2 linked regions of the Caenorhabditis elegans genome follow. The protein of the gene in region 1 interacts with the protein of each later gene in a pairwise test. Each region holds a gene or a part of one and is shown on either strand. Other genes may lie near its edges. The genes, in order: nop-1 and lron-10.

Evidence for each region.
Region 2: the proteins of nop-1 (region 1) and lron-10 interact in a two-hybrid assay, tested with the Caenorhabditis elegans proteins (one large-scale study listed by BioGRID).

Annotation. Positions count from the first base shown.
Region 1 is NC_003281.10:5,956,829-5,963,128, forward strand, and holds nop-1 (Pseudocleavage protein nop-1), read left to right. Parts: upstream 1-1,893; 5' UTR 1,894-2,057; intron 2,058-2,478; 5' UTR 2,479-2,479; coding exon 2,480-2,515; intron 2,516-2,563; coding exon 2,564-2,623; intron 2,624-2,671; coding exon 2,672-3,028; intron 3,029-3,075; coding exon 3,076-3,417; intron 3,418-3,474; coding exon 3,475-3,648; intron 3,649-3,696; coding exon 3,697-4,207; intron 4,208-4,256; coding exon 4,257-4,387; intron 4,388-4,436; coding exon 4,437-4,524; intron 4,525-4,580; coding exon 4,581-4,766; intron 4,767-4,813; coding exon 4,814-5,208; 3' UTR 5,209-5,494; downstream 5,495-6,300. Other genes in the region: nono-1 (RRM domain-containing protein), read right to left, coding at 1-6, 864-1,218, 1,272-1,387. UniProt on the Caenorhabditis elegans protein: Required for formation of the pseudocleavage furrow during the first cleavage of the embryo and also mediates aster-induced furrowing during cytokinesis.
Region 2 is NC_003281.10:10,617,239-10,622,047, reverse strand, and holds lron-10 (eLRR (extracellular Leucine-Rich Repeat) ONly), read left to right. Parts: upstream 1-1,837; 5' UTR 1,838-1,839; coding exon 1,840-1,888; intron 1,889-2,752; coding exon 2,753-3,087; intron 3,088-3,815; coding exon 3,816-3,995; 3' UTR 3,996-4,182; downstream 4,183-4,809. Other genes in the region: Cell cycle checkpoint protein hpr-9, read right to left, coding at 1-32, 81-206, 260-330, 380-491; mrpl-22 (Large ribosomal subunit protein uL22m), read right to left, coding at 4,257-4,441.

The sequences.
Region 1 (6,300 bases):
TGTATCCTGTGAAGTAAATTGAAATAGAAATGAGGACAATAAGAAGAAAAATTAAATATAATTTGAAAATGGATCACCTTTCTTTTCGAAAGACTTTAGGGAGATAGTTGAAGCTTCTAGAGAAATCTAAAAGCACGAATGAATGCATAATTAATCGATAAAACAATTAAAAGGCTCAAAAATTAAAAGAAAACTCTAGAAGCTTCATAAATAATATTCTATACGAGATAAACTTCCAAGCTGCGATATAATGCGAAAAATTGAATTTTGTCTACGGAATTTTCTCTCAAAGGAATTTTCCGAAAGTAACCAGACAAGCTCTGAAAATTTTCGGTGACATAGAAAATAGTTTGCTAATGAATAAACAAAGGAAAAAATAAAGTTATAGGACCTCCAGAACCTGCTGGTTGAAAGTAACAAAATTATTTCTTTCAACAGGAGACTATTTGAATTAAAGAGATGGATTTTCTACAATAATTGACGTAGATGCAAACTTCTGTGGACCGTAGAAATCTGAAAACGCGTTGCCGAGGTAAACCAAGCACAGAAAATATTTTTACAATTAGTTCACAAGTTTTGATATTTTTAAAAACACGAGTCCACAGGAAGAAGTTACGATTGAGATATACATTGGGTTGAGTTGCAATTTGAAGTTTAGAAACAGCGAGTAAATACACATAGAGATGGTGGAGTCCACTAATTTTGAGTTTACGAGAATGAGTCCTTCAGCATTTGATAGTATTTGAGTACCCAATGAGTCCGATTTAAATGTGTACTTTTGGCAACCTCGGCTTCGCGGCGATTAGTGAAAATAGATAGGAGAGGTGTAAATGCAACTTTAAAAAATATTTAAATAAACTAACCAGTCTTAAGAACGCAAATCCTTTTCCAGATAAATAGCACTCAGCAATATCTCCATGTGGAGAGAAAAGTTCTTTTAGCTCGGTTTCTTTAACTTCATTTGGCAAATTTCCGACGAAAAGCCGACATCTTCCAGTGAACTTCTTTTTTGGAACTTCATCCATCAGTTGGGACTCAGTGAACGCTGCTCCATTGAAAGAAGTTCCACCACCACCACTTCTTCCACCACCACCACCGCTTCTGTGTCCTCCATTGTTGTCGTACGGCTGTTGAGCCGGAGCAATTCCACGTTCGGCTCCACCGCGGTTGCCTCCACCTCCGCCACCACTGCGAGCTGCATTGTTGGAATTTCCACGCCTGAAAATATAAATTGTACAGAATACCAACTAAATATGTAAAGAAAAACTTACTTTTCATCTCCTCCGCGATTTTCCCTCCCTGGTTTGCGATCGTTTTCCGCTTTTGCAACTCTTGATGAATCATCACGACCATTTGAACGCCTGTTGTCTCTCCTTGCACCACTCATCTTTTAGAAGGTTTTTTGTTATTCTCCTTCTGCAAAATTAAAATAAATAGTTTATTAAAAGAAAGAGATTAGTGAAAAATGAACGGATCGATAGAAAAGGGTGCACACGCGGCTGAACGCAGCGCGGAGAGACGCGTCGCGTCTTCCATACTCTGTCTTTGAGTGGTTAGAGAAAGTAGAGAGGGCACAGAGAAAAAGGAGATACCGGAAAGAAAACGAACGCGTCGAATTAAAATAAAAAAAACATTCACAGAAGCTGAATGATTTAAACATTTATGACTGCAATCGGGTTTATTAATCGATGTTTTTTTTAATTAAAAACCCGGTCAAAATTGCAAAAATAAACTAGAAAACAACTATATTCAAGAAAATAAAAGCCGCAAAAAATTTGTACAAATTCGAATTAATTCATGATGAAAACTTTCAAGGCGCACAGAGTTCATCAAAGCAAGTGTCCTGCCACGACAAGAAAGTTAAAGGAAATTTAATTAATTCAGTCGACGGGTCTCGTTACGATTACCGTAGTAAAACTGTTTTTGTGTTTCGCAATTTTCTCACGTTTCTCACGTTATTGTGTTCCATCGCTTCTAGCAAAAACGGGCTCAAATTTTCGGAGTCGAAAATAGGCAACGACGTCGAACACGTTCGATTTACACGCTTTAGAAGAAGTGTAAGTTTTTAATTTTCAAAACAAGAGCCACTATCTGTGAGAGATTGCTAATTGTAAATTAAATTGTTGTTCCATCCAATAATTCAATCGTTTGCATATTCATAATTTTTTCTCGGCTTGTTCAAAATTAAAATTAGTTTAAAAAATACCTTTTAATCAAAAGATTCAAATAGTCTCGTCTTTGGAAAAGTGGTTGAATTTTCGAACCGAACCGAACTCTCGACCGAAAAAACAAACTTATTATCTTACTTACTAACTTGTTAGCAATACTCACAATACGTCGCTTGTTCTCATTCTTATGGCTGTGAGTAAGTGTGGACTAGCCATTGCGCTGGTTGGCCTAGCAGCTGCGGTATTGTCCCGCTTACCGCGTCATTCAAATAAAAAAGTGTTCTCCTTCAATTATCGACCCATTTTTCAGCATGTCGGCGCCGAAGAAACGAAAAAGCGACATTCACGTAAGTTTGAATTTAAATTATTTACAAATTAATTGATGTATTTTGCAGAGCGATGATCGTGATCATGCAGATCACCAAACGAAAAAGGAGAAACATTGGTTCGAGGAGGTATTTATTAATCCCTTTAGATGTATTATTAACTCGTTTTTTTTTCAGAAATCTGAACAGAATGGCGAGAACCGAAGATCTTCAATTTTCAAAGGATTTCTCAAGAAGGTGAAGAGCTCCACTACTTTGAAGAGCACCAACAAATCTGCCTCATCTTCAAAAATGGACACCATAGCGAATGAGACGCATCTTTCAATCACCAGTGAATCAAGCATCACTTCCGTGGAATCCTGTCACAGTGCACAGTTTCCTAACGTCGCGAAGAATGCGATGCTTCGTACTCTTGTCAATAGGGATTCATTCACACCTGTTCCACCTCCAGACGGTGAAAGTGTGACTTTCATATTGCCAGAGATAGGCTCATCGAAACTGGAATTCACTTCAAAGATGGATGATGCGATTTCGGTACGAGAAAAGCATAGCAAAATCCACTTCGCAAACATTTATTTCAGATTGAATCTCGAATGTCTATTGGATCTTGCCACACTATCGATGAAGACTCTGCTTCCATTGGATCCACCTCTGTTTTTTGTACTCCAAGTCGCAATCCATTGATGAGAAATGGATTACGTATGTCGACTAGAAGTGTTCCTGAAAACCAAGATGATATGCCTCCAGCACTATTCCGATCTCTTTGCAATAGCGCTGTTCGTCGAGTTCCCACTTCAAAATCTGAAGGTGGTGGTACTCCGATGCGGCGTTCCATGCGGATGTCCATTCAGAAACGGAACTTGTCTTCGAAAAACATGGAAGATGTACCAGAAGAAGAAGCATTGACGGTCTCTAATAGTTCGGTAAGAATAAAATTATATTGAAATTACATTATTTATTCGTTACCACTTTTTTTTCAGATTCGTGTTGATGCTCCAATTGCTGAAGAAGACGAAGAAGTGTTCGGGGCGGCTAAGGAATATTTTGACAACAATGTCACATCACACAATGATTCAGCAGATGAAGGGACATGCTCAATGTCACGACTTTCGACGACGTCCGAAAGAGCTTCTGGTGTTGGAGGATCTAGCATTGTGAGTTTTTTCTGATATCGAAGCGTCTTTGACGAGTGTAATGTATAGTTTCAGGGACGCCGGAGCTCAATTTTCCGAAAAATCTTCCCAGGAAAAAGTGAATCGAAGGATCGGAGAATGAGTGACAACAACCAAGCGTCGGAGCAGTATATGGACAAAAAATCAAGACGGGCATCTGTAGTCTCTTTCAACGAGTTCACATCTGTCAGCGGACTCTCTGTAAATGATTCTGCGAGCAAAAATCCGAAAGACTTGACGGAATCACCTCAGCAACCAAAGCTTCGAAAGAAAACGGCATCTTCTTCTAATCTGTCGCAACGTATTTCTTCAGTTTTCCGAATGGGCTCAAATTCGACAGTGAAATTGAATGAGTATGTTCCCAGTCCAATCGTTTCTCAATCGTCGCGTCGCAATACGCTCACTGGGAATTCGTCGATTTCATCTGGAGTCGGAAGTATAGCCAGTGGAACATCAGATCAAGGATACGGGACGATTGGGTCTAGATCCGGTCAAAGCATATCAAGATGTGGATCGAGGCGTGATGATGAAGGCAAAAAAGGTAATCCCAAATGATTCAAATATCCTGTTTATAGAAAATGTATTTCCAGAACGCACTCGACGCCTTCTGGACCGTATTATCATTTCCGATGTTCCAGCAGGAGAGCTTCTGAAATTAAAAATTGAACAAGTCAAAAAGCAGAAGCAGTTGGAAATGGATGAGTTGTTTGAAACTCAACTCGTAAGTTGTATCCGAGTTGTATGAATAAATTCAATACAATTTTTTCCAGACTGAATCGTCGTCCTCCGACACTTCTCAAAGCGAGAATTTGCAGTTTGATGTCGTGGCTGTTGATATCAAGGCAGATGGATCTCCATGTAAGCCAACATTTTATTGCATAACGATCCTCATATTCTAATTTGACATATTTCAGTTTCCACTACTGCTGCCACATTCATGGACAGTGAACTTTCGAAAAGGGTGAAAGAGGAGATCGTGTCAAATTATCGACCTGATCGCTGCGGATCAATCACCGAATACGAACCGGAGCTCGTGTTTGTGATGCCTGAGCAGCCACAAGCGAGCTTGAAAAGTCTTAATGACTCGGTTTCCTCTAATGGTAAATATTCTCAATTGAATGTTGATTTCAATTTTTTTGAATTTCAGCTGACATCAACCTTGATCACCTTCGGAATGTTAGAAGTGGCTTGTGCAAGTCGATTGAAGAATGGAAAAGGATCACAAAAATGCGAGAATCATCTACAATGCTCATTTATCCAATGTTCTGCCAATCAGAAGAGGAATGGGATTCAAAAGGAACCATCGACGCAATATTCCTGATGCTCGATGGAATATTAATGAATACAAAACGATGGATGCCGAACGGAAAATGTATTCTCGCTGGGGTGACTCCAAATAATGTCATCCTTCTACGCAACAAGTTCGATGAACTCAAACTGTCGGTTGCAATCTCCGAATCTGATGGGCCGGCAAGTTCAAACGATGATTTCGACACTCAATCCACAGCGAGCACTTCAACTGTGTTTGGAGCTAAAATTTGAGCTGTGAAATGTGTGTCTTGTTGTTAAATGTATTATCGATCTCGTCAATTTTCAAAATTTCTTTCAATTCATGTTACCTTTCTCTTTCCTCCTCAAAACGGTTGATATATTTTTTTGTGTTTTCATAGCAAGTTTTATTATCTAAAAATTAAGCTCTACACCTTTTCATCCTTGCATTTTTCTCTTCACTTTTTGAGGATTACTGTGAATAGAATGCCCCTGATGTTTCTATCCTCTTTCCCTCGATTTGTTCGTATTTTTTTGTAATAAAGTGTGTGAAGGCTTACTATTTTTTTTTGAGGAATTTTTGATTTTCATGAAACGTCCTTCATTTTTGGAGTTTTGCAAAAACGAGGTGAATGAATTGATTTTTTCAATTAAAAAAAAAGAAAATATTTCATCTCTCAACTTTTCCATCCGATATTCCAATTCGGATGGACCGGTTAGTTGTTGCTCAATGGTTGATCAATCGATCATTTGAGATAACTCTGCGTCTCTTAATCTTCTATACTATTTTATTATCTTTGTCTCAATTGATAAAAAGAGAAACAAGTGTCTAATGAGAGAAAGAAATATTTTTGTGTCCATCGGCTCTTCTTTTCTCATCCACTTCAATTCGATGTTTGTCCACCTGTTGTGAGTGTACCACGTGGAAGTCCGAATTCCACGAATTTAATTTTATCAACGGAATATTTGAATTTCAAAAATGTGAGCACACGAAAAAAGTGCAGAAGATAAATTGAAAAAGAGATAGGTAATCTGATATCATAAGTTTCATCTCTTCTCACTTATTTCCTTTGCATTTATCACTTCAAGTTCATTTTATCACCCTTCTCTCTTATTATTTGTTTTCTTTATCCTGGTTTAACCGAGATTTGTTTTATGGGATTCTCGCTGATTATGAAGAAAATTACGGGTTTTTTTGCGCCAAAAATACGGTGACGCGATAGATTTTAGTTGAATACAAAAATGCGCAGATCTTTAAATAAAAATAAAAAATTTTTTATCAAAAAAGTATGTCAAATTGAAGCAAATTTCGCAATAACAGAAGTTTGAAGTTACAGTACTCTTTAAATTTAAGTTTAAAGGGTA
Region 2 (4,809 bases), 4.7 Mb from region 1:
AACGCGACGCCCTTGAAAATACGCTGAGCTGACTGAAAAAAAATTAAATTTTTGCCGAAATTTCTGAGATTTCTCCCCACTTTCATCGATAATCTGCAAATATTCACTGCTTTTTTGTTAATCATTGATACATCGCAAGCGTTGAAAAATTCTGGTGCAAAGCGGAACACGCAGAACTTTGAACGGTTCACTGTTTTGAAGAAGAGCTGGAAAAAAACAAAAAAATAATTTTTTAGCCGAAATTTGACTTTTGACTCACCCCGCCTTCGGAAACCTCAATTAACACGTCTTCAGAGATTTTGCTCAGCGCTGCGATGGATCTTGACATAACTGAAAGAAAAATAAATAAATAATCCGGCTAAAACCCAGAAAAAGTCACTTTTAAGATTGGATTGGACCACAAATTGGGCGCCTTTCATATCTTCATGCTGCCTTTCCCTTGTTATTGATGACGATGGATTATCTGTATAATTTTCATGAATGGCTTGCATTTGATTTGAGATTTCCCTGAAATTTCAAGGTTTTTAAAGAGAAAAATTGAAATTCAGAATAAAATTTTGAATAAAAAAGTTTTCCTCTCGAAGTACACGGACGAGAATCCCCCGTCGCTAGGCCATGCGCTGCGGACTCCTCTCGAACGATTTTTTATTTTTTATTTTGATTTGTTTTGTGATTTCTGACATTTTCCCTTCTTTCCCGCGGCGCATGCATTCTCGTGTTTCCACAAGAGAACCGGTATCCCGTGCAGAACATGAAAAGACGAAAAGAAAAACCAGCGATGCGTCATATATCGTTCTTTTTATCCGTCAGGAGGTACGCTGGACATGATAAATGGAGTTTTGTTCCAAACTATTCGGTGTCATGTGCTTTTTTCCTCTTCATTGCTCACACATATCCGCTTCTTCTTCTTCTTCTTCTACCCCGCTTTTCCAAAAAAAACGCAATAAATATTCTTTATTCCTCAGGCTAAAGGTTTCCTGGAGCATCAAAAATCTCAAATTTCGTGGAAAAATTTTTTAGATTTCAGGTTTTAGGCTTACTCAAGTTGTGGAATTTCTGAATTTCAGACTAATTTGGGTATTTTAAATCGAAATCATTATTCCTAAATTCGGTAATTAAAGTCGATTTTATATAATTTAATCGTAGTACTTTTGAGCAGGGCCCTGCAGGGGTGGGTTGCCGTTCGGCAAATTGTTTTGTCGACAAATTCGGCAAATCGGCAAACTGCTGATTTGCCGGATATCAATTTTCCGGAAGTTTTTAAAGGGATTATTTTATAAGTCGGAAGCACTTAAAACTGCCTTTTTGAAATGTTTTCCCGTTTTCTATAGATATTTTCATAGAATTTCCTTAATTTTCAAAATAGATGTAGGAACATTCATAGGATGCGTACAATCTTGCCGATAAAATTGAAATTCTGAAATTTCCAAAAAAAAATGTGCAAAACCACAATTTGACGAAAATTTTAGGCAAATTGGCAATTTGCCGGTTTGCCGATTTGCCGGAATTTTTTACCCCTGCTTTTGACCATTCAAAATTTTCAAATTAAATACCTTAAAATCCCATTAACATAAAAAAAAATGGCATTCCACTTCAAGTACCTCTACGCTGTAAACTGTGGTTGTAAACTAACCGGACCCCCATCCAAATCGATTAAACCACCCCTTCTCCTTTCACATCTGCGTCTCTATTGATATGAATCACTCTCTCATCCAAAATGCCCAACAATCATTTTGTTCCATTGTTTGTTTGAATGTGCCATGTCCACTCTTTGGGTCTCTGTTTGCTTTTCCAATACACTCCTTCTGGATATATATTTCATTTTTGTTTCGTTTAGGCATGACCTCCATCACATCTGCATTTCTTCTTCTTCTCCTCTTTGTGGCAGGTAATATACATAGTTTAAAAAAAATTAATACATCGAAAAAGCAAATCCAATTTATACAACAATATCACATGCATAACTATACAAAAATTTCTCACAAAAAATATCATAGAAAAGAGACCATCTTCAAGTAATTTTGCGGGAAATTATTTGCTGTAACTTTTTACTAGGTATTTCATTTTTAATTCATTAACATTATACAACTTATTCTTGAAGCCGAAACTCTCTATCCTAAAACATGATTTTAAAAGCCACTAATTTCTGAATCGTATTCAAATTTCGCGATTTCAATTTGGATCTTCATAGGCATTTTTAAAGTTGTATTTAATTACAACACGTCATTTTTTCAATTTTACAAGCTAAGAACCTGTAATCTTAATCATCACCGTCTATGTATGCGTATATACGATTTTTAATTACGCAACATTACACGAACGGAGTCTCTATACAAACATAGCGGCTATTTTATGACACATCATCGTGAATTGAGAGATGATACATTAAAAAGTGAACTCTGGGAATCTAGAATCTAGTTTGGATTGTTTTTTGAATTACTCATCATAGTGAATTCATGTGAGTCATGTAAAAAATTGAATGAACAATTGTAAAAGTCAATCAATGGAATGGAATTTGCTTCCGAAAAATGAATGAATACTGCCGAATTAAAAAAGAACATCTAGTAGTTGAAAAATTAATTTAAAAAAACTGAAAACATTTAGAAAATTATTTAAAAAGTATATTTTCTAGCATTTAAAGCAAAAATTCTTCTCCGTCTTTATTTTCTGATTAGTGCCTATTAACGAAATAAACACATAAAACAATTAATACATTCTAGTTAAAATAAATCTAAAATTCCAAAATGTTCAGTTGCCTGCCGATCAGTTCCATGCCTGGACGGATGTACGTGTGAATTGTCAGAACATGATCCAGTGATCAGATGTGATGGCGTTGGTCTCAATCGTTTCCCATTGCCCCATTCATCACCACTTCGCGGTTTCCATTTCCTGGCACTCACTTGCAATGACATTGACACAATTCCGGCGATTAGCATGATCAAAGCATCATTCCCAGATCTTCAGGGAATTGATGTGCAGGGAAATACTCGGTTGAATTGCTCCGATTTGGTGCATTTGCACAAGGATATTCCAGTTTTGTCGGATTGTGATAATGAGAAGCCGTTGCAGTGTGATAATCTTGATAAGGTTCGCGAAAAAGATTTGAAAAATAGAAAAAATAACAGTACTACCAAATTTCAGAGAAAAGCGAAAATTTTCGATTTTTGGTTTTTTTTTCTAATTATGGGAAATCAGGGAAAATAAGACATTTTCTTCCGAAAAATCAACAAAAAAATGTACAAAATTATACGAAAAATTTTGATTTTTCGATATTTTCAAAAAAAAAATTGAAGAACCGATTTTTCATGGCACAACATTATTTTTTGCGGTATAATATAAAAACGATTAAAAAAAACGAAAAACGCGAAAAATCGAATTTTTCCAGAATTTTCAATAAATGACACTCGGAATAGTTACTAAAGTGCAAATTGGTTTAAAATATTTACATTTTCCTAAAAAATTAAAAATTGGATTTTTTTCCAGAAACTTGAATTTTCTACTTAAAATTTGCAATTTTTCCTTTACATTTTACCGAAAATTTGAAAGTTTTCAACAAAACATGATTTTTTTAACCTAAAATTGAATTTTTCACCTGAAAATTCTAACGTTTTCTCAAAAATAAATTTTTCCGACAAATTTAAATTTTTATAAGCTAAAATTGGAGTTTTCCCTGAAAATTTGAAATACCTTAAACAAGTTTTCTTGGCTGAAAATTATTTTTTTTTAATAATAAAAATAGTATTAAAATTGTGTGCTCCTCTCGGAAAATATCACAATTTTTCATATCAAAGATCCAATACCTTAACCTTTTTCAGAACTGTGACTGGAAGTGCCGTACACTGACAAAACTCAAAGAAATGTGGGCTCAATTCAAGGATCTTGTCAACCGAAAAGCCAAAGAATGGCAAGCTGAGGAGACGATCGAGGCGGCGAAAAGCTGGTTCAGTGCTCAATTCAAAAAGTTCAAAATCGCGATTGGCGAGCTCTCCGACTAATTTTTAATTGAAAAATTGTACATATTTTCCTATAACCCTTCCTTCCCAAATTTCTCTTTCCCCATTGGCCAAAACGATTCGCATAATTTGAAAATTGTTGTATCTCATTGTTCTCCCCCAGCCCTTACTTAAGAGATTACGGTAAAAAACAGTATTCACATAAATTTCTATGAATAAAAAACTCATTTTTAAAAAAAATTTTACCAATCGATCAACAAAAATTATAACAAAAAAAAACGAAAAAATTGTCTAAAAAAGTTCCTAAATACTATATTTAACGGTTCGAGAGCGAAGATAATTGTAGTACTCGTCCATATGATCCCAACCATTTTTCTGTGGATGACGTTGTTTTTGCTGTGGAGCCGGACCTTCTTCTAGACGGACGAAAATGTGAATGTATCGGTATCGAATGGTGTTCCAGTTGTCGTGAGCGTGACGGCGGGCTCCTGAAAAAAAGTGACTTGAAAGATATATTTTCCAGAAAACTCATTGAGAACAAATTTAAATTTCTTCTGATTTTTTAATTCTGCAAAAAAATCAGAGAAACTGCCGAATGAATGTTCTAGATCCGATATTTTTGCCTTTTTCTGGCTAAATTAATCAATAAAAATATTATTATTATTATTTTGATATTTGATTTGAAATAATAAATTATTGTTCGTTCGATTTTCAGAGATATTTCTTCGTAAAGAAAACTTGAAAGAAATTGGTGGAAACTTCAAAATTAGCCTAAAAATTGATAATTTAAATAGCAGTTATTGATTTTTTTTTTGGTAGAAAGTTATATTTGGTCATTACGGACTATTTTCTTGTA